Oreochromis niloticus: one gene and its partners. The protein of the gene in region 3 purifies or fractionates together with the protein of the main gene of each other region. This does not show direct contact. Links are inferred from orthologs where the notes say so. Each region holds a gene or a part of one and is shown on either strand. Other genes may lie near its edges.

Region 1 (7,493 bases), on a different chromosome or scaffold from region 3:
CATAGGAGCTGGGACGTTTTTACCTTACTGTTAGTAAGGGTCCAAACCATGTCCCATAATTTTAAAAAGTTAGTTCTTGAAGTGGTGATTATGATATCAAGATTGTCTGGTTGCTTAGCTGAGCGGTGTTGAACTATAATGATTAAAGCAACTAACCATGAGAACACTATTAGAAGTTTCTGTTACTGGATACATTTTCATTTGACATGGACCGATGCTCTTCATTTCCATGATGCTAAAAATCATAAATAAAGCAATAAAAACAAAATTTGTTGATATCATTCAAAGCAGATTTGCTACATATCTAATCTTTTTGTGTTGTTGTAGGACTTGAGGTTTCACTACAGTAAACCATTTCCTTTAATAGTAGTTGCACTGCAACGCCTCTCCTGGACTACATGGAGAGTCATTTCACCCAAATTACCCAGTTCAAATTTAGACTTTTAGGAACGTGCTCACTGTACACCTACATAGCCCGTGTTACATCTACTAGTTTTAACATTCCAACCGCCAACACTGCAATATATCAATAAGAATAATAACTTAAACTAAAGGGAAATTCATGTGTCTGACTTAGTTCATCTGCCATTTGTATGAGAATTAAAAAGCCTGATGGCTGCAGGTACTGGGGTTTGTTTTGGTTCCATAAGAAGTTGTAAAATGGGTGATAAAAGTAAGATGAGTGTAATATATACACACAGACTAATATTAGTCCTAGTGCCACACTCTTGAGACATTTAGTTTCCTTTTAGTTTATTAGTATTGGTTATAGGTCACGGCTTTTGATCATCACAATCATGCAAATAGAGAACTTACTGATAGCGGAAGTACTGATGGAGTAATGGGAAATATCAGTGCGACTCTCTGCAAAACCAAACCATCATTAAGCACACATGTCAGCAAAGTATGGCTAACACCATTTTCCTTAGACAGGTGCTTACCCGTTGTTGTTGCCCTCGTTGCTTTTGGTGGTTGTGTTGTGGTTATCCTTGGGTCACCTGAAACAGGACAAAGAAATGCATTTTTTTTTTTTTTTTTTTTAAACTGAAAGTGGGAAAGCTCAAAAATGTACTGTATGGATCAGAGACCTATTATAGATTATAAATCTATTATCACCGCATTCTGGCTGAACGTATCATTGATTTGACTAAGATCCAACTATACAACATGTCCAGGGTGTTCTATAGTTAGACAGTCACATCCCTTTTACTTTGCATTAATTCAGTTCTTCATTTCACTGCATTCTCATGATGTACTTCTCTACACATCACCTGTCTATCACCACACACACACTATGTCTTGGTTCTACCGACTTTCCTTCCTTCACTTTTCCAGGCTCTCCTAAACCTCCTCCCTGCTTCCACTAAAGATCGTAATGTCATCTATGAACATCATAGTCCACACAGACTCATGTCTGACCTCACCAGTCATTATCATAGCAAACAAGAAGCAGCTAAGAGCTGGTCCCTGATGTAATCCCACCTCCACATTGACCTCATTTGTTGCTGTCCTCATACGCTTCCTGCATCACCCACACATTTTTCCTGTGCCACTTCTGATTTCCTCATGAAGTACCAACCTTATGCTTTCACTAGATTAAAGACAGTACAACTTCTGGGGTATCTGGTGAAACAAATCTTAGGAAACAGGAGTACACAGCCTTGTGGGATGACAACAGGAAAGTTGGACAGCTAATGTGGCTAAGATTGAGTACAATCAGCAAGGCGGCAACTAGGAAAGTCAAAACAAATACAAAGCACAAGAGACAGACCACCAGAGTAAAACAGGAAATAACAGACTTAACCATACGAACTTGCAGAAAGATGACCATGAGACAAAACTGGAGCAACAGAAGAACTAAAAGCAAAAATAGAGACTGAAAAAGCATTAGATACTCATCTCCATCTGCATGATAAACAAAGAAAACAAAATGAACAAAAAAAACCCCCCAAAAGAAATCAAACCCATAACACTTAAGTCTGGGTACAAGACCCAGGGAAAGTGACATTTTATCCCCACTATAACTCTGCACATCACTGCCGTTCTTGTAAAAATAAATATCAGCACCAGTGCACTTCTTCATTCCTCGGGCATTATCTAATTGTGTTACACAGCGTCTCAAAAAGTCCACTGCACTCACTTCCTCCTTACTAATCCTCTGGATCTCCTAAGTTACTAAATGTCCTTCCTCTGTTCTCCCCTTCACATTTCCCTCTTTCATGAAACCTTAAAAGTGCTCCTTCCATACAATGTTTTGAGTCTATAGATTACATTTCATATTGCTATGCATGCTGGAATGAAAATCTGTTTCCTAGCGGGTGAATAAATGTTTGTAGTGTGTACAAACAGGTGCATGCATGAGATTTTCACTCTGAAACCACTCCCCTAGAGAAAATATTCCCTCATTTCCTTTTACAGTAGATAATGTCACCTTTTCACCAAGCTAGGCAGTCTAAAAAGGAAACTGCTCACCGGTGTCAGCTGTGACAACACAAAAACAAACCACATGTGGGTGGCTTTGCACTGCACCCAAAAGGAACCATTGCATTCTCTTATCTCTTGTACATTTCAGACTTCCAGCCAGACACCTGCCGTCAACAGTTCTAGTATGACTCTGCAGTTGATGATAAATCGGAAGGGAGGATGTGCCAGTGTACTAGAGAGCGTGGGACGGTTTAGTCAGCTGGTTTGAGCCGAACCATCTCGACACACGGGGCTGTCAGTACTGTTGATGTTTTATCAGTAAACAGTGGCCCAGTGTGACTTGTTCAGCCAGAGACTGACAAAGACTAAATAATCCACCGATAATCATGAGACATCCTTCAGTTGTGCCGCCATGCAGATTATAAAATTCCCGTGACACTTTGAGCAGATACCAGGCACCAGCCTACACTCTGCATTAATATTTTAAGTTCCTCTAGGGCATGCATGTAGGGGCTGGCCTTCTATAAACCGTCTCCACCCATTCATCCAGAGCGGACTTTCAGGGTTACCTAGCGATTCAGTCATCCCCTGGGGTAATGACTGAACGTAACAGCTCCCAGTTTTCAAAGCGGTAATGGATAATGATAATGGATTCATGTTATGATAATACCAGTACTACTACTTCTGAACACTCAAAATTCAGACTGTCAGTAGCTACTATTAGCTGTAATCTAAGAATCTCGGGTTATAACAAATACGGGTTCATTGATACTGAATTTTTTAAAAATTTATTTATTTTTTAAGGCCAAATCTAATGTGAATACTTGAAAGTTGACCAAGTGGGCACCAAGTGGAACTTTTTACACTAAAAGGAAAAAGAAAAGCAACAAGCCACAGTACCGCTGTTTCCAAATAACCTCAGCTTGGAACTTCAAGAGAAGTGAAGCCTCTTTGAACCATTCAGCTGTGTTTGGGACCTCATAACAATGTACTGGTCTACATATGGGTGGATAGAGAGATTTTTTCACTTTGATATGGTGTTAAGAAATGTACCAGCAAATAATACTTACGTATACACACCAGCCATGGTTCGCTCCACTGTGGAACAGCTCCCCGATCATTGCATCTGATTAAATTTGAGGTTCCCACTTGTCTCAGGTAGCCATCCTTACATTTGTAGCGAAAAATGTCACCTATTTTGAAGCAGCCTTGTTGTGGGAGATTTGTTAAATTCAACTTTGGGATTTCTGGACATGGACAGCTGTTATCTGTAAAAATTAATAATGATAACTTTTTAAAATAAAAATCATACGATTTAAAATAAATAACCAGTATATTTTTGGTGAATGGTGTACGTAAGTTCCATAGTACATGGCTATAAGTTAGAATTAAAGGAGGCGTTAATAAAAACTTCGACACCATCACATACACATCAGGTTAACCCCGATTCTAAGCCCAAAATTTAGCAGGATTCATAACGATACACTTGCGACTTTCAGCATTTAGGTTTCACTATGAAGATTTACGACACGGAACTGACTCCGAGACGGTGAGAAACAATGATTTACCAAAAAACAAACAAAACACAAATCAAGCCGCAGGTATGTTTTCAATCAGCAATTATCCCCCTCCGACATATCTCACTGGTGTAAAATGCTCAAGTGTGCGAGTTTATGCCTTCTATTTGAACGACTTGTTTTTGAAGGTGATCAAATTTTATCACTGATTAAAATTTGATTAAAACATAAAGAAAACAAATCGCGACATGCGCATTTAAAGCACTTTCTGGACGTACTCGCATGTACGCTCGAGTTGAAATTTGTTTGCACTTACCGCTGCTGGATAATTGAGGCCAACAAACTATCATAACGCAGACGGAGAAAGCCAGTGAAACCAAAGCCATCGGACACCTCGGTAGTGACTTAAAACATGTTCACTAAATAAAACCTGGCCGTTAAAGACCATCGTCGCTGTCGCCACGGTATTTCTTTGCGTTCACACTTTCGCTTTATATCATGCCACTCCCCTTGTGCTCGTGTGTGATCCGCCCATTTTTAATAATAGGGCATATTTCTGCAGAAATCGCTGGTTGCGCTGGTCATCCGGGCGCCAGATGGCGCAAGATCGTAAAATGCTGGCAAATGTTAGCTCTTGTTTTTGCGCTCAGGCTTCCGTTACGAGCAGTAAGGAGGTATATCAAATATGCTGGTTAGCCCTCTTTAAAGAAAAAAGGAGAGAAATATGAACTGATTTGTGATTAATTTCAAATTCTATATAACACTGGTAGCCAAAGAGACAGTGGAACAAATGTTGGGTTTTTCTTAACACATTGCATAAGGAGCAGACATTAGCAACATTAGCCTCAGCCTTCGTTTGCTAGCTAACGTTTCACAGTTTCTCCTGGGAAATTTACTTCAGGATCAGCGACAAACGACCGAATCACAAAAGGTTATACGGAGATTTGTGATTTAGCTGTTGCACGTTATAACCGTTTTTAAATTTTTTGCTTTTTCCAAGCAGTGAAGGACTAAATAATGATGACGTAGCAAGGCTCGATAAATATTGAGAAGTGAAACGTGTTTGTGTGTCCGAAGGCAACAGGACCACTGACGGGCAGCAATGTCGCTCTATGATGACCTTGGTGTGGGTGCCAGTGACACTAAGACCGAAGGCTGGTCCAAGAACTTCAAGCTACTACAGTCCCAGCTAAAGGTGAAGAAGGCGGCTCTGACACAGGCCAAGGTGCGTGCAGTACTACACATGTATTATAGTGGGCTGTCATTCAATCAAGCTTAACGTGCACTTTTGTTTATTAGATGGTCAGAAATGATGATACTTGTGCTTACATTTGTGTGTACATTTGTATTAGCGTGTGAAAAGGGCTCTTATTTTTATATTTTTAAATAATAATGCAATTTAATTAACAAAATATTTTATATTAATTTACATTTGGTCTGAAAAATGTTATGAAAGTCTTGAATGAAATCTGGTCTAGTACACCCCAGTCGAGGCTCACCGGTGTTTGCCTCAGGTATCTCTTCTATGTAAAACTGAACGGTTGCTGTCAGCCTTCATTAAGCTGTATGATTTAAACACAGTACCAGACTATGTTAATGGTTCTGCACATTTTAATAAAACTTCTGCAGCTTTACATGACTGAAGAGCACGTTTGGGGTGTGGGATGTGCAGCCAACATATCCGCTGCAACTGGATGTCATGCCAGTATTGAACAAAAAGAATGTTTGATTTGCATCTTCCTCACAGCAATCGCTCACCTCTTAAACGTTATTTAAAAGAATCTTCCACCTATGTGCGCATCACACTATTAAAAACTGCATGCTGGACCATGATTGGCTTCTAAAGCAGAGCATGAGAAAGTCAGACTTTAAGGCAACAAAAAAAAACCCCATATCAGTTCAGCTGAAACTGAGCACATCCTAATGAGTTCAGAGTAAGAAGTGATGTTGTGTCTTTTTGCTATGCTGATTTTCTGTTTGATGTATTTCTACAGTCACTGATTAGAAGAAGAACAAGGTTACTGGTTGTTTTGTTTATGCTTTTTTTTTTTTTTTTGGTTTTGTTTTTTTGTAGACCCAGCGGATGAAGCAGACCACTGTCTTGGCGCCTGTCATTGATCTTAAGAGAGGAAGTTCCAGTGATGAGCGACAGATCACAGACGCTCCTCCACATGTTGCAGCTGGTCTCAAGGTACGGCTCACAGTGTTGGTTATGGATGGGTACCCAAGACTGGTGTTAAACTGTTACTGGGTTGGTCAGTATGGAAATATTGAAAAGCAGCTGGACAAATTATGCTGTTTATGCAGCATTACTTGATTCTTAAATATCTGTTAGACCCAGTCTTCTATAATGACAAAACTGGTGGTGATTGTGTCTGACGTTGCTGTGTGTTCACATTCTCTCTGATCATGGCTGTCAGGCTGAATGTTAAAAAGCAAAGGCTCGCTTCAAGACGGGTAGGTAGTTGCATATTAGCAGAGTAACACCAGCAACCTTTGGAAAGCTTTACAAGGATTCTTTTAGTCAGTGCTTCCTCGGATATGATGAGATTTGCTGAACTAAAAATAAAACTTTCCAAATAAAGTCAAGACTGAATGTTGTTTTTAAAATAAATCTGCTCATTTGGCTGATAAGCAGCAGCCACTGCTTCTTTAGTGGACACTGGTCAGATACTAAAGTCAAGCTTATTCTCAGTTTCTACATGAGACAGGAAGAAACAGATTTACAAGGCTGTTTTCACGGTTCAGTGAGGAGCAGAGATGGGCAGTAACGCGTTACTGTAATCTGATTACTTTTTCAAGTAACGAGTAATGTAAGGGATTACTATTGCAAAAACGGTAATTAGATTACCATTACTTTCACGTAGGAACGCTGCGTTACTGCGTTACTAAAACCGTGATTTTTTTGCGAGAATGTCTCATGACAGTGACGTAAGCGAGTGCGACGTTCGTGACAACAGCTGTGTGCAGATCAACAATGGATAATATATCGAGTGCGGGAGAGAGTATGAGCATGCAGCGTTTAAAGCGTGGAAGTACTGACCTTATTTTGAGTTTGATTCCATAAAAAGTGACAAAAACATTAGTGTCCGTTGTGCGTGGGAAGAAAACTTCTTTTTACAGCGAAAACCCCCCCATAAACTTCCAAGCAAGCACCGAGTGCGCTACGACGTAATGTGAAATTCACAGAGAAACTCGCGGATTCTTCCATTGACCGCTGCGGCACACCTGCACCAGGGTAAACCTCCGCCTAACCCACTCCTGCTTTACAGGTGAAAATAGAGCAACACAACCGCTAGTCTTTGATTTCATTTATTTTCTGCTGTGTTTTACTTGCATCTATTTGAAAGAGTGAGTGTAAACACAAAAAAATATTTTATTTTATGTGCTGGAATGTGCAGAAAATAGGTTTAAATGTTAAACAAATTTCTTCCAGTCAGAGAATGTTGCATATAATTAAATTTTTGCTTGATGCATAAAGTTAAAAGATTTAAAGTTTAAAGTTTTAAAAAGAGACGTTTCCATTTGATTACATTTTGTATGATGCATTAT
Region 2 (7,814 bases), on a different chromosome or scaffold from region 3:
GACACGGCCAGTGACGTCAGACTGAACAACCGGATTGCGGTAGAGCGGTAGTCAAAATCTCTACCGTTGGCCAAATTTATATCGTTTCTACCATATACCGTTTTATACCGCCCACCCCTACTTCAGCTGATGAGGCAATGAGTCCAAATCCTTAGACCCATTGTCCATAGCTTTTCATACAACCACTGTTTTCTATCCAAGCGCAAAGATTCACACTCCAATAGACGCAACAGACACCATGGCCGAGTGCTATCCCAGGTATCTGGTTATGGTGTTCCATTTATGCCCTTGGATTACACAAGGAGCTTTGTTGTTTCGCCCTGGATAGTGGTTCTGACACTCAGTCTTCAGCCATCTTTCGGCAAGCATATGTTTGCAGAGTGCTGGATTTGAGATGTAATCCTTCATGCATGGTATGGAGTTTTGTCTTTATGTCAATATCTCCTCCTTTGAGCACCTTATAATACAACCAGGGTATCGGGTGAAGACAACAGTGGTTGCAGTGTTATTTTTTTCAATAACACACGTACACAGACACACACACCTCTAACTTACCAAATCCTGTTGTTGTTCATTAGCAAGGTTTTCAGTCTTTTAAGCAAAGGGAAGCCATCCAATTTTCTGACTTCATTATCAGAGAAATCTATAGTGTCAAACTGATCCAGAGTAGCTCCAAGATTTTCAAGCACTGGGATTTTATAACCTGGGCGAAAACAAAAAAATAAAATAATTAAAATACAGATAGCATCTTCCCTTTCTTTGCTACTATCTGACTACACATCTCTGTTCCAAATGACATTCTGATATCATTGTTGTAGATCAGTGAATTGATATCACTCTCACTCCTGGCACAGGAGTGAGAGTGATATCAATTCATCACAATTCACAGCTCGATGCTCTACCAGTAGCCGATCTTTTCCCCCCGTGGTGTTTCTGTCAGTTCCCTTCAGGGCCCTACTCGTGTTTTGAGCCTGCTCATCTTGCCTGCTATGATGCATGACAGGAGTTTCCATGCTAAGGCACAGTATTGGCCTATAACTGGCCAATAACCTTCTCCAAAGGGTGCATTAGCTCTCTCTCAGCATAGTATGAGTTCAGTCATTTGGGAGGGGCTCGAAGTAGAGCTGCTACTTCTGCACATCAAAAGGAGCCATTGAGCCTGTTGCCTCCTGGGTAAGGTGTTCTGGCTGGGCATGTCCTACTGGGAGGAGGCCCCAGGGTAGATCCAGGACATGGTGGCTTTCTTGGCTGGCCTGGAAATGCCTCAGTGTTTTCCCTGGATAAGCTAGAGGGAGCGATTTGCAAGAGAGAGGTCTGGGTTTAACTGCTTAGGCCCCGCGACCTGATTTCAGATACGCAGAAGAAAATAGCTGGATGAATTATTTTATTTTAGATTTTAACTTTTATTAAAATGGTTTCCATGAATTGTAGAATAATGGCCATTACTCACAATGCACAACACAAGGCACCACACTTCTCAGTCGCAATTTATTCGTTTTTTGGGTGTTAATTTGTCACATTTTAATAATACAGGAACATCTCTTGAAGTAACATGTTTTGTTTGTAATGTTATAATTGTGACATTGAACTGAGGGTAACTTGTTTTTCTAAAACAAACTAGACAAAATGTCAATGCCCTGTAATTGACAAATAACTATTTGATTTTATTAGATCAGGTTCATGGTTAAGGTGAAATTAAAGAGCTACTTTAACTGCTACTGCGCAGCAGGAATACTGCTGTTAAAAAGCATATGTAAAAAAATAAATAAAACAAGAAAAATATCCTGAAAGTATCTGACTGCTCATATAGCAATAGTACTAAAATACAATACACAACTTTTTAACTCATTATGGAATTATGCATATAATGCGATTAATAGCAGATTAAAAGTCATCCAGTTAAAATAATAATAATAATAATAATAATAATGGATTGCATTTATATAGCGCTTTTCGGGATCCCTCAAAGCGCTTTACAATACCACTATTCATTCACTCTCACATTCATACACCGGTGAAGGCAAGCTACAGTTGTAGCCACAGCTGCCCTGGGGCAGATTGACAGGAACCTTATCACGGCTCCTCACTAACACACACATAATGTGTGCAGATAACTATGTCAGCTCTGACAACAATCATCTACAATCATTTTGTATATCCAATTATTTTACCGTGGGTTTTCTCTTTCTATGAATGCAAACATTTGCTTGCCCTTAAGTGCTATCAGAATGCAGCTTGGTGATGATGTAACCTGAATTAACAGATTATTCAAATATAATCAAGAATGTTTTTAATAATGTATGTTTTTGTTTGTTATGATGGGATTTGTAGCCCATACTAGCTGACCACAATTACATTTTTTGGTGAGAAAACGCACAAATTTTATCTTCAGAGATATTTATGTTCAAACATATTCTCAGATTTCAATTCACCTAAAATACCCTGAAACCAAATTTATATTAAGTCTTCATAGTCTTCATATATGAAGACAAAATTTAATCGCAATTATTACAAACGTTTTAAAACATACAATTTTCAGGCAAATCTGAGTTGGCTGAGCAGAAAATGTTATGGGTTTTTATTTTCTCTAAGATTTCAGATGGAATGACTCAATTTACCCTTTTAATATACAGTACATTATGATGAAATCCGCCTTGTTGTGTCTAGACATAAGCCAGCATTATTTCTGCAGCAGTTCGTATGAAACTGAACACTATCCAGTTAAGTTTTTGAATGAGGCTCACGTTAAGGCCCGCGTAAAATGTGCGTAAGCTAATGAGCACAGGCCTTTCTATGTATGCTGTATTAAGGACAATTTAACTCACCTCTTAAATCCAACTCTCTGTCTCTCACGGGATTTGTATATTGAGCAGCCTGCTCAATAAGTTCCGCGGACAACTTCACCATCTCAACGAACAAAAAGGAACCTTATCACGTCTCCTAAATTCACAGCAAAGCGAGTGTACACCGCTACACCAAGCAGCCCGGAACAAAAGGTTTACATCTTTCCTATCACGTGGCGACAACGTTTGCTTTATTTTTTATAGCGCCTCCCGCGGAGGGAGGGTGGTGTTGCATGCACATTTCGTTTTTTGATCCTTCCACTTTGCTTAGGAATGGTCCTAACTGAGGGACGTGACCCGGTAGATTTTGCCTGTCGGGCATAATAGGATCTGTTTGTTCGTTTGTTTTAAGCACTTTACTAACAGTGACGGGTAGATGACGCCTCGTGGAGTGTGTGGCACAAGTGTGTCGACACTTGCCGTTTGACAATAAGATAAGATAAGATAAGATAAGATAACCTTTATTAGTCCCACACGTGGGAAATTTGTTTTGTCACAGCAGGAAGTGGACAGTGCAAAAGTTATGAAGCAAAAATTAGAATAAAATAAAATAAGAATAAATACAGTACACAACTGTACAGAATAGAATAAAATAAAATACTATATACAGTAGAATAAAATAGAATAAAATATACAATAAGATAAAAATAGAATACAAATGCTATATACAACTGAGTAAAAATACAACGATGCCAGAAAAGATTATTGCACATTAGTGTTATTGCACATGTGTGGATGTGTGTGTTTGATCAGTTAAAGTCTTTGTTGTGGAGTCTGACAGCAGTGGGGAGGAAAGACCTGCGAAATCTCTCCGTCCCACACCGTGGGTGCCGCAGTCTCCCACTGAAGGAGCTGCTCAGTGCTGTCACAGTCTCCTGCATGGGGTGGGAGATGTTGTCCAACAGGGATGACAGCTTAGCCGCCATTCTCCTGTCACTCACCACCTCCACTGGGTCCAGAGGGCATCCTAGAACAGAGCTGGCTCTTCGGATCAGCCTGTTCAGTCTCTTCCTGTCCCCAGCAGAGATGCTGCCACCCCAGCAGACCGCACCATAAAAGATGGCTGAGGCCACCACAGAGTCATAGAAGGTCTTCAGGAGTGGGCCCTCTACTCCAAACGACCTGAGTCTCCGCAGCAGATACAGTCTGCTCTGCCCTTTCCTGTAGAGGGCGTCTGAGTTATGAGTCCAGTCCAGTTTGCTGTTCAGATGAACACCAAGGTACCTGTAGCTGTCCACAGCCTCAATGTCCATACCTTGGATGTTCAGTGGTTGCAGTGGAGGATGTTTGTGCCTGCGGAAGTCTACCACCAGCTCCTTGGTTTTACTGGCATTGATCTGGAGGTAGTTCAGCTGGCACCAGTCCACAAAGTCCTGAGTCAGTCCTCTGTACTCCTTGTCGTCCCCATCAGTGATGAGGCCGACTATTGCAGAGTCATCAGAGAACTTCTGCAGTAGGCACTGGGTGGAGTTGTGGGAGAAGTCTGCAGTGTAGATGGTGAAGAGGAACGGAGCCAGAACCGTTCCCTGTGGGGCCCCCGTACTGCAGACGACCCTGTCCGACACACAGCCCTGAGTCCTCACATACTGTGGTCGGTCGGTGAGGTAGTCCAAAATCCAGGTAGTGAGGTGATGGTCCACTCCAGAGTTCTCCAGCTTGTCCTTCAGAACCGAGGGAAGAATAGTGTTGAAGGCACTGGAGAAATCAAAGAACATGATTCTCACAGTGCTCCCAGTGGTCTCCAGGTGAGCGAGGGAACGATGTAGGAGGTGAATGATGGCATCATCCGCTCCAATGCCAGGTTGGTAGGCAAACTGAAGTGGGTCCAGTGATGAGCTCACAAGGCGCTGAAGCTGAGCCAGGACCAACCGCTCCAGGGTCTTCATCAGGTGGGATGTCAGAGCCACCGGCCTGTAGCTGTTGAGGTCCTTGGGGCGTGAAGTCTTTGGCACTGGAACAACACAGGAGGTTTTCCAGAGCTGTGGGACTCTTCCCAGCCTCAGGCTCAGGTTGAAGAGGTGCTCCATCACCCCACACAGTTGGTCAGCGCAGGACCTGACGACCCTCGAGCTGATGCCATCTGGACCCGCTGCCTTCTTGGCTTTAATCCTCCTCAGTTCCCTCCTAACCTGGGTGGTTGAGAGAGACAGGCTGGAGCCTTGTGTTGAGTGTGTATTGGATGCTGTTGTTGGGGGTTGGGAGGAGTGAGCAGGGTGAATAGAGGAGGTGTGAAGTGTCTGAGGTGGAACAGCAGCAGTGGGGGTGGGTGAGTCTGCAGCCGATGTTGGAGACTGCCTCATGGCTGAATCAAATCTGTTGAAGAAATGAATGAATGAAATGATTCAGTTCATTTGCCCACCTCACATCCCTCCCAGGCAGAGAGTTGTGATGTTTGTGGCCTGAGATGGTTCTGAGGCCTCTCCAGACTTCACCAACGTTGTTTTGCTGAAGCTGGTTCTCCATCTTTTGCCTGTAGCTATCCTTCCCATTCCTTATCAGTCCCCTCAACTCTCTCTGCACCCTTTTAAACTCCTCTTTGTCTTTGGATTTGAAGGCCCTCCTCTTCTGCTTGAGGACAGCTTTAATTTCTGGAGTAATCCAAGGTTTGTTGTTGGAGAAACACCGTACAGTCCTGGTAGGTACGGTGTTGTCCACACAGAAATTAATATAGTCAGTAATGCATGTAGTAAGGCTGTCGATGTCCTCTCCGTGGTCGTCACAGATCACCTCCCACACAGTGGACTCAAAACAATCCTTAAGAGCCTCCTCGCTCTCCTCCGACCATCTCTGCACTGTGCGGGTGGCTGGTGGCTCCCTGCGCACTAAGGGCTCATACACAGGGACAAGGTGCACCAGGTTATGATCAGATCTGACCAGGGGAGGGAGAGGTGATGAACTGTATGCCTGTTCTGCATTGGCATACAGTAAGTCCAGTGTTTTATTGTCTCTGGTTGGGCAGGTCACATACTGGGTGAAGGTGGGCAGTGTGGAGTCCAGTGAGGCATGATTGAAGTCCCCTGATATTATGAGAAGGGCTCTCGGAGATTGTGTTTGCAGTCTGCTGACCACTGAGTGGAGAGTGTCACAGGCTGCATCCGTGTTGGCCGAGGGGGGGACATACGCTGTTATCGCGATAACATGCGAGAATTCCCGGGGCAGGTAGTACGGACGCATGCTAATGGCTAACAGCTCAATGTCTCTGCTGCAGAGTTGTTCTTTTACAGTGATGTGCCCAGGGTTACACCATCTGTCATTCACAAACACTGCCAGTCCCCCTCCTTTCCTCTTACCGCTGTCTCTCGTCCAATACTTGATTACGCAAGTCCGTACTTGCGTTCTGTGTTCAGTGTTTTTACTGCCCCTCGTAATTTTACTGTGATTAATATGTGCATTTTCTTCAATTAACATTTGTATTTTTCAGCACAAATGATTGGCTAGAAAAAGATCATCAATGTGAAACAATTGGGAAAGGTTGCAGAAAAGACTTCCTGCCTTTAGTATTCATGGCCATTGTAAACATCCAGAGATTTATATGATCTGTCTAATTAGCTAAATACAGTTAAACACTCATAGTAAAACACTAAAACACAATAAATACATTACACATGTGTACACAGCTCATGCTACTTAATGAATTTTTAAAAAAACGGGTCTGATGTTAGGATTCTTTTATTTTTATTTTAGTAGACGCCCAAAATGTACAGCTGGTATTTGCAAGAGAATTTAACAAATAGTGAAAACACGTCATTTGGTCATTTCTGGAGCAGTGACATAACGTTTCTAAAACATTTCTGTCAGCTCAAAAAACATGAGCAAACACACAAACTGTTCCTGTTAGTGCTGTGCGATACTACAAATTTTGGTATCGATCCAGTACAAAATAAATTAAGGAAAGTATTGCCAATACCAATACTTTCCTTAATTTAGTGATACTGATAGTTTTAACCTATAAAGGGAGCTTGTGTAACTCAGAGGGCCCGGGCCCTGGTCAGAGGGCCCGGTGGTGCCAGTGTTCAGCAGCCTCGCCTCTGTCAGTGCGCCCCAGGGTGGCTGTGGCTACAATGTAGCTTGCCATCACCAGTGTGTGAATGTGTGTGTGAATGGGTGGATGACTGGGTGTGTAAAGCGCTTTGGGGTCCTTAGGGACTTGTAAAGCGCTATACAAATACAGGCCATTTACCATTTTACCATTTGTGCTATATACTATTTTGAGCTATATTTTTTCATTAAAAAATATTTTTAAAAATACACTAAAAATGTATTTAACACAGTTCAGTGGGATTCATACTGAAAACTGAGGATAGAAAAAAGATTCAATCCAATTGCATTAGTATCAGTCTGATACTGATACCAGTGTTGGTATCGATACTGTCGATATTTGGATCAATCTGCCCACCTCTAGTTCCTGTGTAATTTGTTGCACAGTGTGTTGCTGGATAAAGGTCCAGCTGCTGTATTTCCAGGGAGAGAAAAGAATGAGAGCTAACTTCTGTCAGAGATGGAGAATGATTACGTACTTTGAGAAGCTACACTTCAAGGACTATACTATTTCACTTTTGAGTAAAGATGTTAAATCAGTACTTTTACTGGAGCATTTTTTAACAAAAATATCTGTTCTTCAGCTTAAGTGGAAGAACAGATAAGTGGAGAATGTCTGTACTTTTACTACCTCTGACCCGGAGTCAGGCGTTCTTGTCACTGAGCTTTGAGCTCTCAGTCAAATTGGTGACGGTGTGGTAGACTTGCTTTTCAGGAGCCACTACAGACTAACCAGGAAATAAACACTGTATATTTCATCATTGACATTTTGTGACATAATTTAAACACAGTTCGCCATTCTTATTACTCTTGACCAATTTGACTAGTGCTGTGGCATCACATTTTTTAGCATAGTCTGTCTTTGTCTTTTCTTGTTTTTTTTTTCTTGGTTCTATCTTTCTTAATTATGTGTGCCTATGCCAAGAGGCACAC
Region 3 (7,432 bases):
ACCACAATATCTCCAGAATATTTCTTTGGACCCGTCTTTTCCAACAGTGTCCTCATCTTGTGAGCCCTGGGCATGTCCTTTCAGGTGTCTTCAGTAATGCTACAGCTCACATTTGTCTTCACAATTTGGTGTCATTTGGTCTTCTATCCTGCTCACATGCCTAACATACTGCTATGCCCAGCTGCAGTAGCCGGCTCCTCTGTGCTGCTTACTGCAACCTGTCTAGAAGAGGCACACAATTGGTTTGGTGTAGCGCTATTCTCATTGACGATGGGTCTCCTGTGTGTGACAGAGGGGCATTTTGTGATATTACTATTATTTCCTCATCATTTAAACTCCTGCACCAACAAAACTTGAGAAATATGGGATAAATAAAGTATTTCTTATTGTCATCTAGCTGTCGTGTTTCTGAGTGATTTGCTACTAGATTGGTGAATAAACCCGTGTGTGTGTGAATCCCAAGTTAGAGAACAACAACAATGCCACAGTAGAGCAGGCAATAGTCTAGCAGATTAGGGCTGTGCGATATGACCAAAATCTCATATCCCGATATTAAGACATCTATCGTCCCGATAACGATATAAATCACTAAAATTTAACATTTTCTGTAAATTCTGTCAATCTCTGGCAGCTCGACTTCCGGGAAGTGTTTCCAGCTTGGGGTTGTGTACTTGGAGTCGAGTGTTTTAACCGATGCATGAAACTATACATTTTTAGACATAGGTTGTAACGGCCGCCGTTTTCTTTGTGAGTATTTATCACACGGCGTGCTGCGGGGAAAAGCCTGTTCTAACGTTTGAGTCTAAGGTTTATTTTTTAGCACCTGGTGACTCTCATCCATAAACACTCTGCATACTCTTTCATGTAATTCAGTTTATTTTGAAAAGTCTCAACAGGATCTTGAGCTTTATTGTGAAAGGTTTATGTGGAAAATAAACAAGCGGACACGAGGTGGTTTCACCGTCGTTGTTGCTAACGACAACGGATAAAAACAGTTGCTTGTCTGTCTGTAGTGTGGTTATATTAAATATAAGAGAAAGAGAGAACTTTAAGAAATTAATATAGCCACTACAGTGACCATCAAAATAATGAAAAAATATTGCCGTAAACAGCTTATTTTGCGACACCACGAAACAAACGATAGCGTAAAATGAAACGATAGATGTTTTTATATCGTCATCCGATATATATCGTTATATTGAACAGCCCTATAGCATAGCGGTCCCCAACCTTGCGCCACAGACCGGTTTATGCCCGACAATATTTTCACGGACCGGCAATAAGGTGTCGCGGATAAATACAACAAAATAAAACTAGTGCCGGTACCGAAAAAAAGAAGCTTTATTCATAACACACGTGAAAAGACCCAGGAAAACCGAGTTAACGATAAAAACGATAACAAAATAACGCTGAAAACCGATAAAAACCCTGAAAACCATACATTTCACACCTGAGCCTCGACTCTCGCGGCCCGGTACCAAACGACTCACGGACCGGTACCGGTCCGAGGCCCGGGGTTGGGACTGCTGCTATAGCAGATTCACATCATTTCCAGAAGTGGTGAGATTGGAGCTGACGTTAACCATCTCCCGTCATGTGCTACATGTAAGAAAGGGCAACTTAGAAATACGTCCCCATCCTGACTGTCACAAGATTTTTCAGGCTTCTCATGTGAATACACCATTAGTTGGTCTACTTTTCAAATAACCGCTCAAAAGTTTGTTCCTCCACTCCTGTAACCGCACAAAGGTCCAGCCAACATATCTATATTTGAGTGGAAATAACTGTTCGCTAAGAAAACACTCACCCATCTTTGTCTTCATACAGGTCTCTGAGATTTGCGCTCACTTCCATATACCTCTGCAAGAAGAAGCACAGATACCTTTTTACCAGTGTTGACCATTAACAGTGAAAAGTTGCTAATTATCAAAAGTGATTCTTTGTCTCCAATGTGCGTCTCTGAAGTCAGGTTTTAACCATTTATATTTTACACCTAGTTTTAATGACCTCTGATGCACTTGGGGCAGATTTTTGGAGTGTCATTTCGTTGTGACACCGCTTCATTCAGTACATCTGATTACATTCTTTATCTGACCTCTTTTCTGTGATTAATGTATGAAAATGCATCAAATCTGCTAATAAATTGTTCTTTGCACGTTTACAAAATTGTAACTGGGGTTTTATGAAAGGTTAGTTATTCGTTGAATTTCCAGCAAATACTATTAGCCAGTTGGTGAGAGCAGTTTTAAATGAGTCCAAACTCTTACTTACATCCAACATCGCTCTTGTTCGATGGTCAGAATTTATTTGTTCACGCAGCTGAAACGAGAGTTGGAAAAAAACACACAGAAAAATGTTAATTTCAGGGTTTCTGGGATTCACGACCAAGCGTAACAATGCTAAAGCTAGCCTTAAGTGGCACCACTCACCGTCGACTTCTTGTGTAACATTTCTTTAGTTTTAGCATCCATTAGCCTCTCTTTCTCTTCGTGATAGCGACGCTGTTGTTCTAATATAGTTTCCATTGTCCGCAAAAATGTCGAACGTTTGCTAAAGACGAATTAAGGTTTCTAATGGGGTAGAATACAAATGAAGGAAAGCGGCAATACCCGCCGTATCTTGTACGTTTGTTTTCAATGGCGCATGTCGACGAGCTAACGGCCCGCACTGTATTAGCCGTAAGAGAAACATGAACCCGTGGAAGGGTTCCGCCGTGGTAATGTCTGTGTACAATACTTCTATATTTTTTTATCTGAAGCCTTTCGACAGTTAATAATAACACTGGTTCCAGTTTATTTTTAGACAATTACCGTGAAATCCTTTGACACAAATTGTTGAAAGTAATGGTTTCGTTTATATTTTGACCTTTTTAGCTAGATGAGTTGATGGGCATAACAGCAATTCCTTTCAAGAGGATCCCTGGTCTTTACATTACTGAAATGTAAAAACTGCTTCTGAAAAGTACACTTTTTCAACGTGATGGGTTGGCACCACACCGTGCACGGTCTGTGCCGCGTGCTCGGTATTCTCTTTGCACTTCCTTTGTAGTCTACACTATCATCAAAGCCTGACATAACACACAGCGCACCCTGGCGTAGGCGCGCGCACGAAGGCAGTCTGGAGCCGTCAAGCGTCGGATTGGTAAAAGAGAAATAGACCGGAAGTGTGAACTCTGTGTCTTAACATAAAATGCGTCCATTCATCCTCTTCTTCTCATCTTCTTCGGAGGGCTTTTTTTTTTTTAAATCAGTTGCTTGATTCAGTTAAAAAAATCTGAACTAGTTTGCATTATAGACTGACATTTTTGTTTATTCCTTGTTATTTTTTTCGGCAATTTTCACTGGTATCAAAATAAAATCCAAATTAAAAATTAATGGTTAGAAATAACATGTTACACAGTAGGATCAGGGAAGATAAAGCAAATAGGCTAACGAGTGCAAAACTATTCTATGAGTATTGACATTGGGTGAATGGACATTACAAGCCTCAGGTCTACTCGTGCACAAGTGAAAAATTACTTCTGAGATTTAACAGATCGCCAGTGTAATTTTTTAACCTCATTTGAGTTAAAGTGTATTGCAGCATATGAATCTTATTTTTTATAGGCAGTCTTCGGGGAAAATAAGCCACAGGCTTTTATTTTGACAGATTAAACCGGAAACTGTGCTCGTAACGGTCGCTACCGTGACAGTCGCGGTTTCACCACATTCTCAAGCAGTCAGTCAAAGCAGCGGACAGTAAAAAGAAGCGGACGAGCAGCGTTGCGGATTTACAGAATAAACAGTGGAGCTTATAACACATACGTCCAGCCAGCTTATAAAGGTGAGCTGCTCATATTCTTCGCTAATGGAGTCAACTCTATGAAGACAACGAAGATTTATTGGGTTATTTTGTGGGGAAGGGGGCGGGGTGGTCGTGGTGGTGGCGGGGGCATCCATTCTGTCTTTTGTGCTGGAGCAGATTTGGCAGCGGTCACTGAGGTCCGCTGCTGGAGAGGAGAGATGTCGAACAAGTGTGTCCTTCAGCTTTATCTTCTTCGGCGGGTATAAAGATTGCGAGGCTGTCTTGCTGTTAACTCTTCACACATAGCCAACAAAACAGGCGATCCGGGCCGCGGGAGCTCGCTGGCCCCTCATATACAGCTTTATTAGCTGTTTGATGTTGACTAAAGAGGGTTCCCCCGAACTTGGTCTAACATCTGAGCAGATTTAAACCCGTTTCTCATTAAACAAGTGTATGTTTACCATACGAGACCTTTAGAGTCATAGGCAGATGCACATCAATTCGGCATATACCCATGCACCTAACTGAACTTAATAAAATGAAAACTATAATAATCATTGGGCCAGTCGTCACTCAACCATTAACACCGAAATAGCCTTGCTAGAAATCCGAGCCAAAAGTGGGAATTCCCTCTCTACAGAGCCGGGTACAGAAAAGGTTCAGGGGTGTTAGCCGGACAGAAAACCCAAACTCTGAACTGTTTTATTGAGCCTTTAGCCTCAGACAAAAGAACAGATTGAATCCACGGGACTGTGAGTGCCCTGCTGGGTGGGATCTATGTGTAGACTCGCTCAGTAATCGGTGACCGGTTGAGCTGTTGTGACAGTTTGGCACCCGACGGTGAAAGAAAACATCTTCCGAATGTGTTTTGGCAAAAGCCCAAGACGAACCACTGGTATGTTTCCAACTTTTGGTTTCAGTATGTTTGTCTTCACCTGACAACTGGAAACACGCAGATGTCTACAGAGATGTTAGCAGCTTACCCTGAGATCTGAAATGATGTCCTTCTGTATCACTCTAACCAACCCCACCAAAAACTAAAATGTGGTATCAGCTCTCATTCACAGTTAACAGCACAGTCTTCATGCTGCAGCTGTTTGTCAGATGTCAAACGTGGAGTAAGCTCACCAAAGCCACTGTCATGTACACCCAACAATCTGTCCTTACTGACTGTGATTCTATATTCATGTGAGCAGCAAAAATGCCCTCACAGCCATTCGTCTGCGTCATGCATTTTTCATTGCACACCAGGGAATGTAAATAGAGGCATTCACCTTGAGCTCCTCTCTCACATACACAATAACGGGGACAATTGATTTAGCAAGGCTGACCTTGTAGGTGTCTTTTTCTGAGACTCGTAGGTTGTGACTGACAAACGTTAAGTCTGGCTGATTCGCAGAATGAGAGGGAACCACACCAGAGCTCGGTATGTAACTAATGACATCTGCAGGTGTATCTTTGGATGAGGACATAGGACAACCCTGCTTGTTTTTATTATCATTCAGCAGTCCAACGGGCAGCAGGGTTGTGTTGTCAGTAGGCTGTCTTCTCCTTTATTGGACATAGAAAGAAGCGTATCACGGCTGTTTTTAGAGTTCTGCGAAAGGACCTTTTTCTGTTCCAGCAGGACTGATGTGAGTTCAGTGCACAGACAAGGTAAATAAAGTTGGATGAACTTCAGTAGGGGGAATGTAAGGCAGTCTTCCTGCACAGAGGTTTGTTTTGGGTTTTTTTTTAAACAAACCTTTGACTATTTCTTCACACTCCTGTTCTTGGTGAACTCCATTGTCTTCCTTCCTTATTCTGGCCCACTTGTGAACCAGTAGGCATTTGACCAAAGCATATATCATCCTCGTTTGGATTTTGGAGGGCTACACAGGAGCGTGTTTGCAGTGGGTGAAAACCCCGTTCCGCCTGCTATCCAAATGAAAACGTGTGGGCAGACGGGCACATTTACAGGTCCCTAAATTATATTGAAGTGTGTAACAACAGCCCTATGACATGTATACAGTTCAGTGAGCAATAAGTTACCAGTTTGACAATGTCACGATCACACAAACATATTTTCCGTAATGTTGTTTAAGGTGATGTTTTTCCTTTTTCGATCTGCTACCCAGAAAATACGTCGTTGGCTCGGTGACCTCAGCTCCTTGTTGATGATTGCGAGGTGGAAAATCTTTGAGGCTTTGAGTTTTTGTAGTTGTGCTTAGCGGCTCAGCAATCTGATGAATTTCTATTGTCCACAGTTTAACTTTTCCTTACAGTATCTATTAAGTATCTCCCTTCATTCCATTGATGGATTCACTGCACAGTGCCTTATAGGGTGGCTGAAGCCACAAACCTAAACTACCAGTTAATTCTTTGATACTTCTCAAGTCTGAATGAAAACAGACTGTACAGATGGACTAATGCTGGATTAAGACACCTCAGATTGAAAAAAATCAGCTTAATTGGATCATCATTGGGTCCTTATGAGCTTCAGAAAAATGACTGGATATCAGACCGTGAGGCCTCCCCTCACATTTCCCAATGTTTCTGCATACTTGTGTGTGATGGCAGTGACTACATGGTAACATGATTTTGTGATTTTGTGACCAGTGGCTGGGAGCATGACCTGGACATTTTGAAACCTCCAAACTGTGAAAACATTGCTGTGTGAACAAAGATATAGCTTACGAGATGTGTGCTGTTTCATAAAATTTTACACTGCACTTGTACGGCAGAGTCGTGGACAGTAGTGGAGGCAACAGTCAGGATACGGGGGACAAGGACAGCCACAGATGTCCAGCTTACTGGGTTTTGCTCAGCAATATGCGAAAGATCAACGCTGAACTGGGACACAGAGCTAACCACTTCAGCTGCACAGAGGAAGATGTTTGACCACAGCACAAGTGAAGGCTCCCCCATGCCCGCCATGAGGACTAGTCCCAGAAACGGAAAGGCCCACGAGCAAAACTCGAGGACTTGCAGCCACTTCTTGGAACGTTGTTGCAGCGCCGCAAAGCTGTTGGTTTCTCAGGAATTCAAGCGTGACATCGTTGTACGATAAATCGACAAGACTCAGATCACCTGAAACTTCTTCAGCAGGACTGTGAGAAATGCACAGATGCTGTATGTGTGACTGATGCTACTGAGAGTTCGTCAGGAATAATTACAGCTTTATACATGCCACAAGTTTTGAAAGGCCAGCCTGACTGTTGTGAAACAGGTGTGTAACCCACAGCACAGATTTTCTAACACACCCTCCAAACAGGGTGTTGAGCATGAGATGGAAGCTGGAGAAGCCTACATTCAAAGCAGATCTCAGGCTGAACAGTGTGGTTTTGTGATTCATACTCCAGTTTCTGGGAATCCTGTATCTCCTGATGAACTTAGAACGTGTGACTGCTGTGTGAAAGCATCCATAGAAATCAGGTGTCCTTTAAAGTCCAGGACAGATTTCGTTCGATTTAGTATTTGCAAGTTTACTGTTTACCATTTTAAAATGTGTACTTTTCACTGACTCTGTAAAAAACCAGTCAAATGAAGCTTGACTGTTGGGATAGTGCCTTCAGCACATGAATCAACAACAAGTGCTTACTTTTCCAAAAAGGACTAAAAAGATGTGTGCACATAAAACGGTGTCAGGAAAGGCAGCTGAAAGAGTTTT
Region 4 (7,884 bases), on a different chromosome or scaffold from region 3:
TGTGACCAGTTTATGGTGAAATGATGTTCCTTCCACTCCTCCACTACGGCCCAACACTGCTGCAGAGTTTAGAGATGTTTCTGTAACCAGTGCCACCAGTTTGCCAAAGTCATGAGAGAGCTCACTGGTTCTCCTCATAATAAGACCTTACTTGTGTGACACCTCGGTAACGATACAGCTTTCTGCAGGTTGGGATTGAATGAGCTGATGTTAATCTGAGTGAAGCAGGAATGTTTTCTCCTTACTGACAGATTTCAGCCGGTGTTGTGACTTGGCCTTCAACACTTTCTCTCTGTGTCATTTCTCATTCGTGCACATCATTTATGGACAGCCATGATTTGAATAGATGAGCTGTTAGTGACATCTGGGGAAAATTTCATGTCAGAGCACCTTTAGAAAGACATCTGACTTCAACTGGACACGTGTCTAGTACTTTTTGGTGGAGCCCGACAGTCAATACAATTATTACAGCAGCTGGAAAGTATTCCAATAATCGAGGTAACATTAAATTTCTCTTCCTGTAGAAAGTTATCTGCAACAGTTTTAAAGGCTAACTGTTTTCCTTGATATTCTTTACAATCCGGGGATTGTTGCATGACTCAAAACACTAATACTGTTAGACTCGATGCAGAACAGGCGTAGCTGAATCTGGATGGCTGTAAGCGTGGCTCAAATACCCTCTGTTCCATTTACCATCTCTGCACTGCTACATTTGATAATTAAAGAACAACGCAGAAAAGTGTGCCGACGTCAGTTGTATACTGTACGCGACAACTGAAAAAAAGTACTAAATGAATAAATATGACATTAAGCACAACATTACTCAGACAGGACCGTGTTAACGTACCCGTTTGATGGGGCCGTACACTTCAAATTCTCGGCGAAGCTTGGACTCGGTGGTGTCATAATTCTGTAGAAAGAAGATATTTAAAGTTCACACAGTCCATAGAGGTAACACCCCCGCCCAAAAACCCCAAACCCAACACACTTGGATAGGCAGCTATTTGAATATACTAACCACTCGTGCCACAAACAGAGTCTTGAAGGCATCGCCCTGTGCGTTGGGGTCATTATGAGGGTCCCCTGATAGCATGCAAACAGAAAACCAAGATTAGGCCAAATCACCACATCACGCAGAGTTTGCAGAGCGTGTGCCGTGTCAGAAACTTACAAAGCTTCAGCTCTGTCTCTACTACTGCTTGCCTCCTCTCAATCTTCTCTCGTCTCTACAAAAACAAAAGATTCACAGGAAATGGTTAGTGCTCAGCTTTCTTAATGATCGTTGTCTTTTCCTCACGTTATCATGAGATTCTCAGAAAACCTGACACATACAGACTTCACAGAGCTTCATCTGTTCCACGGTCTTTCTTTCAGCCTTGGATTAAATTCATTTCCACCTCAAAATTCTTCACAAAACACCCCAGAAAGTTAAAAGATGCATCCCGTTTCCACTGATCATCTGTCAGATGTTATGTCTACAGCCTGACTGGAGTCCCAGCTGTGGTAAATAAGGCGAACTGGACATTATTTGGAAAGAGACACACACTTCCTGTATAAAGGTCCCACAGCTGACAGTCCACGTCAGAGAACACACCCAAGCCGTGAAGTTCAAAGAGTTGTCCTCAGAGACTGGATTGTATCGAGGTGAAGGAGGGTACAGAGAGTTGGGGAATGGCTGCAATCACAGCATTGTAAGATGAATGGTACTCATGGCCATTGATCAGTGGGTTTTGGTCAGTATCTGTTGATCAATGGTCATGAGAATTTGCATAATTAAGATTAAGGAACTGACCTCACAGCCCATTGTTCCTTCAGTGGGCTGGTTTCAGTCATTCTGCAAATGTACTGTTTATAAGATCGGGGAAACCTGCAGTCAGCTGAGACTGAAGAAGTCACTTGGATGAGTGACGAAATGTTTCTCCCACAAAACGCTACGTCCAGATGAACAGAATCAACTTTTGGAGATTTACTTTCCTGGATGATTGAGCATGCATCAAGACAATCTGAACTGCTTTCTTACACAGTGTCAGTCTTACTTTTACCAAGTCTGCAAAGCTTTCAGTCAAACGTTCTTTGCTGTGTCATTATGGGCTGTTGTGTGTAGGAGAGAGAACGAATGTGGACAAATGGAACAGGTGAAGTGCTGTGAATACTCACTTTTCTCTCCAGCCGCTCTTCACGGGTCTCTGCTCTTGTTGGAGGCGGTGCATCTCTCGGGTCCTGGTCAGAGAAAGGAGATATTTAACAGGACTAATGTGGGACGGAAGAAGAAGGGCTAACCAAAGCGCACAGAAGATTTAATATTCACCTCGAAATGTCTGATGAACGGGGCGATCCCACTGTAGGGCTGATTGTGGTGCTTTTCGTGGGGTAACTTTACCAGCTGAGGTAAGAAAGGTATTGGGTCCCGTGGAGCAAAGAGGGCCAGGAGGTTGGGTGGTAGGAACTGCGTCATTTTTCACCTATTGCAACAACAAGGGGATCACTTCATTGACACTTATATGCTGGTCAATCCGGGCATTGAAGCACGCGCCAGCCTCAAGAGCGGAAGTTCTCGTAACATGCTAACTGTTGTCCTGATTACGACGACACTCCTACAACCATATGGCTAGCACGCGTTTCATTTTCACCCAACATCTTCCTTAACTTACAAACAACACGGCATCGATATCTGAAATGTATGCGCTGACAGGTTTTACTTTAAGTTCTATCGACATGTTTAGCGTTTAATTGAGCCTTTCGAATTAGCACGAAGCACACAATGCTAACATGCAGGATCCGCGGAGTCTTACCTTCTCTCCTCCAGTGTTTAGCAAATTTCAGATCATGTATCAGAAGAAGAAGCGCGAGATCAGGTAGTTCCTTTGTGACAAACTTACTTCGACTGAAGCAGATAATATATTTGGATCTATTAGTAATAAGAATCTGATCTTCAAGGTACCCACAGCGTGCAGCGGCGACAAATAGCTAACTGTGTCGAGTTCGCAAATAAAATGGCGGGATGCCGCAAAATAACGACAATTGTCGTAAACCCGAATCGTTCAGGAAATGCCAAGTTGATTGAGAATTAAGCGTTGAGTCGACATTATGATATTGTTTGGAGTGTTTCTGAAGGAAGCGAAAACCAATTATGGTGTTTTATTAATCTCGTGTAAGCAATATATACATAAATGTCGTTTTTTAAGACCAAACCAACCCTACTTCACTGGAAAAACGACTTAAACCTGTTGGTTAAATCTTTGACTTTAAAAAAAAAGGCTGCTTTTTTTGTTTCCTTTTTAGAAGATTTTGATTTAGTGAGTTAATACTCTGTTAACTTTTATGACCCCGTCTTTATATCTTTTTTTTCTTTGTACAAAGGTTGCTAATTGGTAAGAAGTTTATATTTTCTGAATGTATAATATGGTGCATTTTGTTTGTATGTTGATTTTGCGAATAAAAAAAGAAGCTTTGAGTCGGCATTAATTTATGAAAAGAAAGACGCACACCCTCTGACTCTTCACATTCTTTATAGTGTATGCGCCAAAGCGATTGTTGTTCCAGAAAAAGTCCAAAATAACTGGATTGTTTTGGTTCTTATGAAGATACGAAGCTACGACGGAATATTAGAGCTACTTTAAAAATCAAGTCAAAATATACAGATTACAGTTGTTTCAAGGCAAACTGGCAATAATTCATTTGTATTGTACATTAATAAAATAATAACTTTATTATTTTATTAGGGCCACAGAAGGAAAACACATTGTTGATCATTTTGAGAATAAAGTTAGTGGACTCGTACTTGATCGTAGTAACGTAGGAGGGACGTAAACACGGCGTGAACAGGTGGTGCAGGGAGCTGCGTGTGCTCAGAAGGAAACCCACGCAAACGTGGAAGAGTGGATTTGTACCAAATGAAATGGCTGGTAGTGGACCAATGGTCACAGTCACGTGCAGTAAACAGGATGTATGGTAGGTATCCTGCTGTAACCCACGACACTCGTGTTTCACTGTTTCAGTAAAACTCACTACTTCCACTTTAGTTGTTGCAGTGGAGGCGGAGTCATGTGGATCCGCGCTCCCTGCCCCGTGCGCGCTCCCGTTCTGTCGCGGACACCTAGCCTGGCACGGCACGTGCCTTCCAGATGAGCTGGAGACGGTCAAACAGATGTGTGATAAACGCTTCCGCCAAACCAGGAAATAAACACCGGATATTCCGTTTGTGTGGCTACATTTAAAACCAGGGGTGGGGAACTCCAGGCCTCGAGAGCCGGTGTCCTGCAGGTTGTAGATCTCACCCTGGGTCAACACACCTGAATCACATGATGAGTTCATTACCAGGCCTCTGGAGAACTTCGGGACATGTTGAGGAGGTCATTTAGCCATTTAATCAGCTGTGCTGGATCAACGACACATCTAAAACCTGCAGGACACCGGCCCTCGAGGCCTGGAGTTCGACACCTGTTATGAAACAGTTCGTCATTCTTGTTGCTCTTGACCAATAAAATACCATAAAACCAGTTTCCAGCCAACTACTGCCCCCTTGTGGCCAAGCGCCCCAGCCTACAGGCAGCTTGACTTCATCAGGTCTGGCGCGTTTACCTCCCATTTCATGCACGTTACATTTGTAACTTTCAGGGTTTCACGTTCTTGTGTCTTGCAAATAAACCAGTAAACTAAATGAAATGGTTTTGTGTATTTATTTTTAGTTTACGCTGGTAAGAAATGTCCAATTATACAGATGAAGTTCTAGAAATTGCCACTCCTACTGGTTGTGACTTTAGAATTCATTTTATTCCATAACAAAGAAATGTGTTTTGGACAAATATTACACAGTAATATTTGACTAGTGTTGTAACATCAAACCTGTTAGCCTAGTCTGCCTGTGTCTCATCTCTGGACATGAATTCAATTTGGAAAGTGATGTGTTAGTGGGTTGTATGTACATTTATGTAACGAAGGTCACCTGGGACCATCATGTAGTGTTTATTAGGAACAGCTGGGGCCAAAATAGATAACTGATCGACACAGCTGGCCAGAGTTTGTATTTATATACAGTCTGTTATATTATTATAGTTTAGTCTACAGGCTGTGTCCAAGTTCAGGGGCTGCAGCCTTAGGACCCTACCCAGTCTCAGGGTGGTTAAACTGGTCTAGCCTGTGACAGCAGCAGCTACAGCTGTGGTAGACGCGTCGAGAAAATCCTGAACAGTCTCTCTATGAACAGAAACAACTGACAGAAAGCAGACAAAATAAATAATACAATGTTTACCAGTGTTAAGTAACATTTATAGTGTGTTGGTCATTTTATAAAGAGGCTGAGTATAACTGTCATTCTCAGTAACATGCACAGAATACACAATAAAAGAAGTGAGAAATCAGCAGTGACCAACAGCCTACGTGCTGCCTGTAAAGACACAGGGACACGGGGGACACGCAGTTCTTCTGTTTAGTATTGTTTAACTCCTTTTGGTGTGCAGCTGGGTATTACATCTCCTCTCAGTTTGGATGTTGATATAAAGGAGAGGTGGGGTAGATCATCATCATAAACATTTAATTCAATACTATTAAAAAAGGTCCTGTAATTAGTCCCACCATTGAGACACTTCTAACAAATCCAACCAACAACAACTAAGCACTAGACCCTTGACAAAGGTAGGATTTATTGCAGGGTTCAATACGGGACTGTACTAGCTCACACGAGTGTCTAGACAGGATCTACTTACTGAACCTTGTGTTCATGATACATCTGGAAAGGAATATTTACAACATGATTACAGCGATGAGGATACATACTTCTACATGAAAGTATAGACAAGGGAAGGTATGGAAACAATAAAATTAGGCAATGACAATCAGTGAACTGCTCACGTACTGAGCAGATTGTGGCAAAGGTGGAACACCCCCACCCCCACCCAAAAGTCTTGTATTAGGCAGAGGGATGCAGTGCTCCTGGCTCCCTGTCATCCCTTTCTTCCTCGTCCATTTTGCGCCCGTGTTTACGGAAGTATCTGTAGCGCTGAACATACAGCTTCACAAGGTTGCTGACTTTGACTGGGTTGATTTCTCCAGTGCGGCTGTGGCAGATCTAAGATAAAGACACAGTGTGATTAAACAGTCAGTAACAATTCAGAACAGAAGAACATAACTTCATTTATGGACGCACAGTTCAGACATTTTGACCAGATGCTGGTCCAATCCCATCATAAAAGCTCCAATGAAAGAGCAGGACAATCCACTCAGGTGCACTACACAGCAGCAGGGCACTGTTTGGCAGCTGATAGCTAGCATAGCAAAGAGAAAGCTAACAGCAAAGGGTCAGCAGTTACAAAGTAGTTCACGCCCATGGCACCAACAGCGTTCCTTTGTATGTTTGCAGAGTGTGACTGTGTTTCATGTGAGTCTGCATGAATGAAATGTACAGATGGTGATTCTTTGTTCTTACGTTCTCTGTAAGAGTTGCCAGGATGCTTTTACTGCTCTTGTGATTAAAAAACCTGATGTCAGCAACATTATCATTTCACCTCACCTTCTCTGGCCACTGAGGCTGTGTGCAGATGTGTAACGATGTGTGAGGCTGTGTGCAGATGTGCGAGGATGTGCTCAGGTGTGTGCAGATGTGTTCAGGTGTGCGCTTATAGGGAAATCAGAAGAAGAAGAGACTAGTGCCAGTGTCAATGAATCCAAGCTAATCTGAGACTAATGCAAATAAACTATGCTAATAATGTCAATATCCATATATTTGTCTTTATTATTCTTATTTCATATTATTTTACTGATAAAGACCAATTCACTGAATGTATATTATTGCATTTATTTGTTAATGCATTACCCAAAGGCATGGTACCAGGATCTCAGTGGAAACATCATAGTTTTATTGTAGAAATACTGCATGTTTTAGCCACACTGTAAACTTTAAGCTGCAAAGTGCAAAGTCAACATGAGCCATGTGATATATAAAACAGTATGTGGTTGGATTTGTGTGTGAAGGCTCACCTTATGCACTGCTTTCCTGAGGATGTCTTTGTATTCTTCCTTGTTGATGTCTTTGCGTTGATAGTAAGGCTTGATCGCCAGCTTGACCTCCTCTACTGCCCGCTCCTGTGTGTGCAGCTTCTTCAGGTACTGTGCAGTTCAGGTAAGCATCATGTTAAATAAAGGAACCCACAAAAACAAACAAACAACACAGTTCCAGTTTACCTTATCCGGGTCTTTGCTCTCATTGTCCCATCCAGTGTCACTAGAACTCCCAGACACACCCGTCATCCCCACAGGTACGATGGAGGGTGGAGTCTGAGCGCATCCACCACCTATTGAAGGGTGCAGGTGTGAAGGTGGAGTTTTAGTGCAGCTAACCAATGGGAGGGAGCCGTGCAGAATGAACTGGGCTGGGCTCAGTCCAGGAGGTGGGGGGAGAGAGGGAGGGGGAGGAATCTGTAAGGATGAAGAGGAAGAGGACGCCGAAGGAGTGAGCTGGGACTGGTTCTGATTGGCCTGTGAGAGCATCTGCATGTGAGAAAGGAGATAAACGAATTCACGGTCATTCAAACAATAACAGGATCATCATTTCAACACACAGAGGAGCCTGCAGCTCCCATATACACAGCAAGGTCCCCCTCTAGCACTGTGTGTGTGTGTCTGTGTGTGTGTGTGTGTCTGTGTGTGTGTGTCTGTCTGTGTGTGTGTGTGTGTGTGTCTGTCTGTGTCCCCGTCTGTGTGTGTGTGTCCCCGTCTGTGTGTGTGTGTCCCCGTCTGTGTGTGTGTGTCCCCGTCTGTGTGTGTGTGTGTCTGTCTGTGTGTGCGTCTGTCTGTATGTGTGTGCGTGTCTGTGTGTGTGTCTGTCTGTATGTGTGTGCGTGTCTGTGTGTGCGTGTCTGTGTGTGTGTGTGTGTGTCTGTGTGTGTG

The links.
Region 1: the proteins of sf3a3 (region 3) and rbm17 purify together in Homo sapiens (affinity purification with mass spectrometry; 4 studies listed by BioGRID and IntAct, counting the BioPlex papers as one, with this or other methods). This does not show direct contact. The link is inferred for Oreochromis niloticus from reciprocal best matches to the Homo sapiens genes SF3A3 and RBM17.
Region 2: the proteins of sf3a3 (region 3) and snrpa1 purify together in Homo sapiens (affinity purification with mass spectrometry; 6 studies listed by BioGRID and IntAct, counting the BioPlex papers as one, with this or other methods). This does not show direct contact. The link is inferred for Oreochromis niloticus from reciprocal best matches to the Homo sapiens genes SF3A3 and SNRPA1.
Region 4: the proteins of sf3a3 (region 3) and snrnp70 fractionate together in Homo sapiens (co-fractionation; 3 studies listed by BioGRID). This does not show direct contact. The link is inferred for Oreochromis niloticus from reciprocal best matches to the Homo sapiens genes SF3A3 and SNRNP70.

The regions. Positions count from the first base shown.
Region 1 is NC_031981.2:35,258,905-35,266,397, reverse strand, and holds the start of rbm17 (splicing factor 45), read left to right. Parts: upstream 1-4,486; 5' UTR 4,487-4,615; exon of another isoform or gene 4,616-4,872; intron 4,873-5,018; 5' UTR 5,019-5,043; coding exon 5,044-5,166; intron 5,167-6,015; coding exon 6,016-6,132; intron 6,133-7,493. Other genes in the region: il15ra (interleukin-15 receptor subunit alpha), read right to left, coding at 817-864, 942-998, 3,495-3,692, 4,258-4,327. UniProt on the Homo sapiens protein: Splice factor that binds to the single-stranded 3'AG at the exon/intron border and promotes its utilization in the second catalytic step. Involved in the regulation of alternative splicing and the utilization of cryptic splice sites.
Region 2 is NW_020327524.1:105,998-113,811, reverse strand, and holds the start of snrpa1 (U2 small nuclear ribonucleoprotein A'), read right to left. Parts: upstream 3,020-7,814; 5' UTR 2,908-3,019; coding exon 2,826-2,907; intron 704-2,825; coding exon 556-703; intron 1-555. UniProt on the Homo sapiens protein: Involved in pre-mRNA splicing as component of the spliceosome. Associated with sn-RNP U2, where it contributes to the binding of stem loop IV of U2 snRNA.
Region 3 is NC_031985.2:38,727,448-38,734,879, forward strand, and holds the start of sf3a3 (splicing factor 3A subunit 3), read right to left. Parts: upstream 3,019-7,432; 5' UTR 2,526-3,018; coding exon 2,430-2,525; intron 2,320-2,429; coding exon 2,272-2,319; intron 1,861-2,271; coding exon 1,808-1,860; intron 1-1,807. UniProt on the Homo sapiens protein: Component of the 17S U2 SnRNP complex of the spliceosome, a large ribonucleoprotein complex that removes introns from transcribed pre-mRNAs.
Region 4 is NC_031969.2:2,185,004-2,192,887, reverse strand, and holds the start of snrnp70 (U1 small nuclear ribonucleoprotein 70 kDa), read right to left. Parts: upstream 3,004-7,884; 5' UTR 2,793-3,003; intron 2,463-2,792; 5' UTR 2,456-2,462; coding exon 2,309-2,455; intron 2,221-2,308; coding exon 2,158-2,220; intron 1,227-2,157; coding exon 1,172-1,226; intron 1,084-1,171; coding exon 1,019-1,083; intron 911-1,018; coding exon 848-910; intron 1-847. Other genes in the region: scaf1 (splicing factor, arginine/serine-rich 19), read right to left, coding at 5,909-6,067, 6,976-7,104, 7,180-7,485. UniProt on the Homo sapiens protein: Component of the spliceosomal U1 snRNP, which is essential for recognition of the pre-mRNA 5' splice-site and the subsequent assembly of the spliceosome. SNRNP70 binds to the loop I region of U1-snRNA.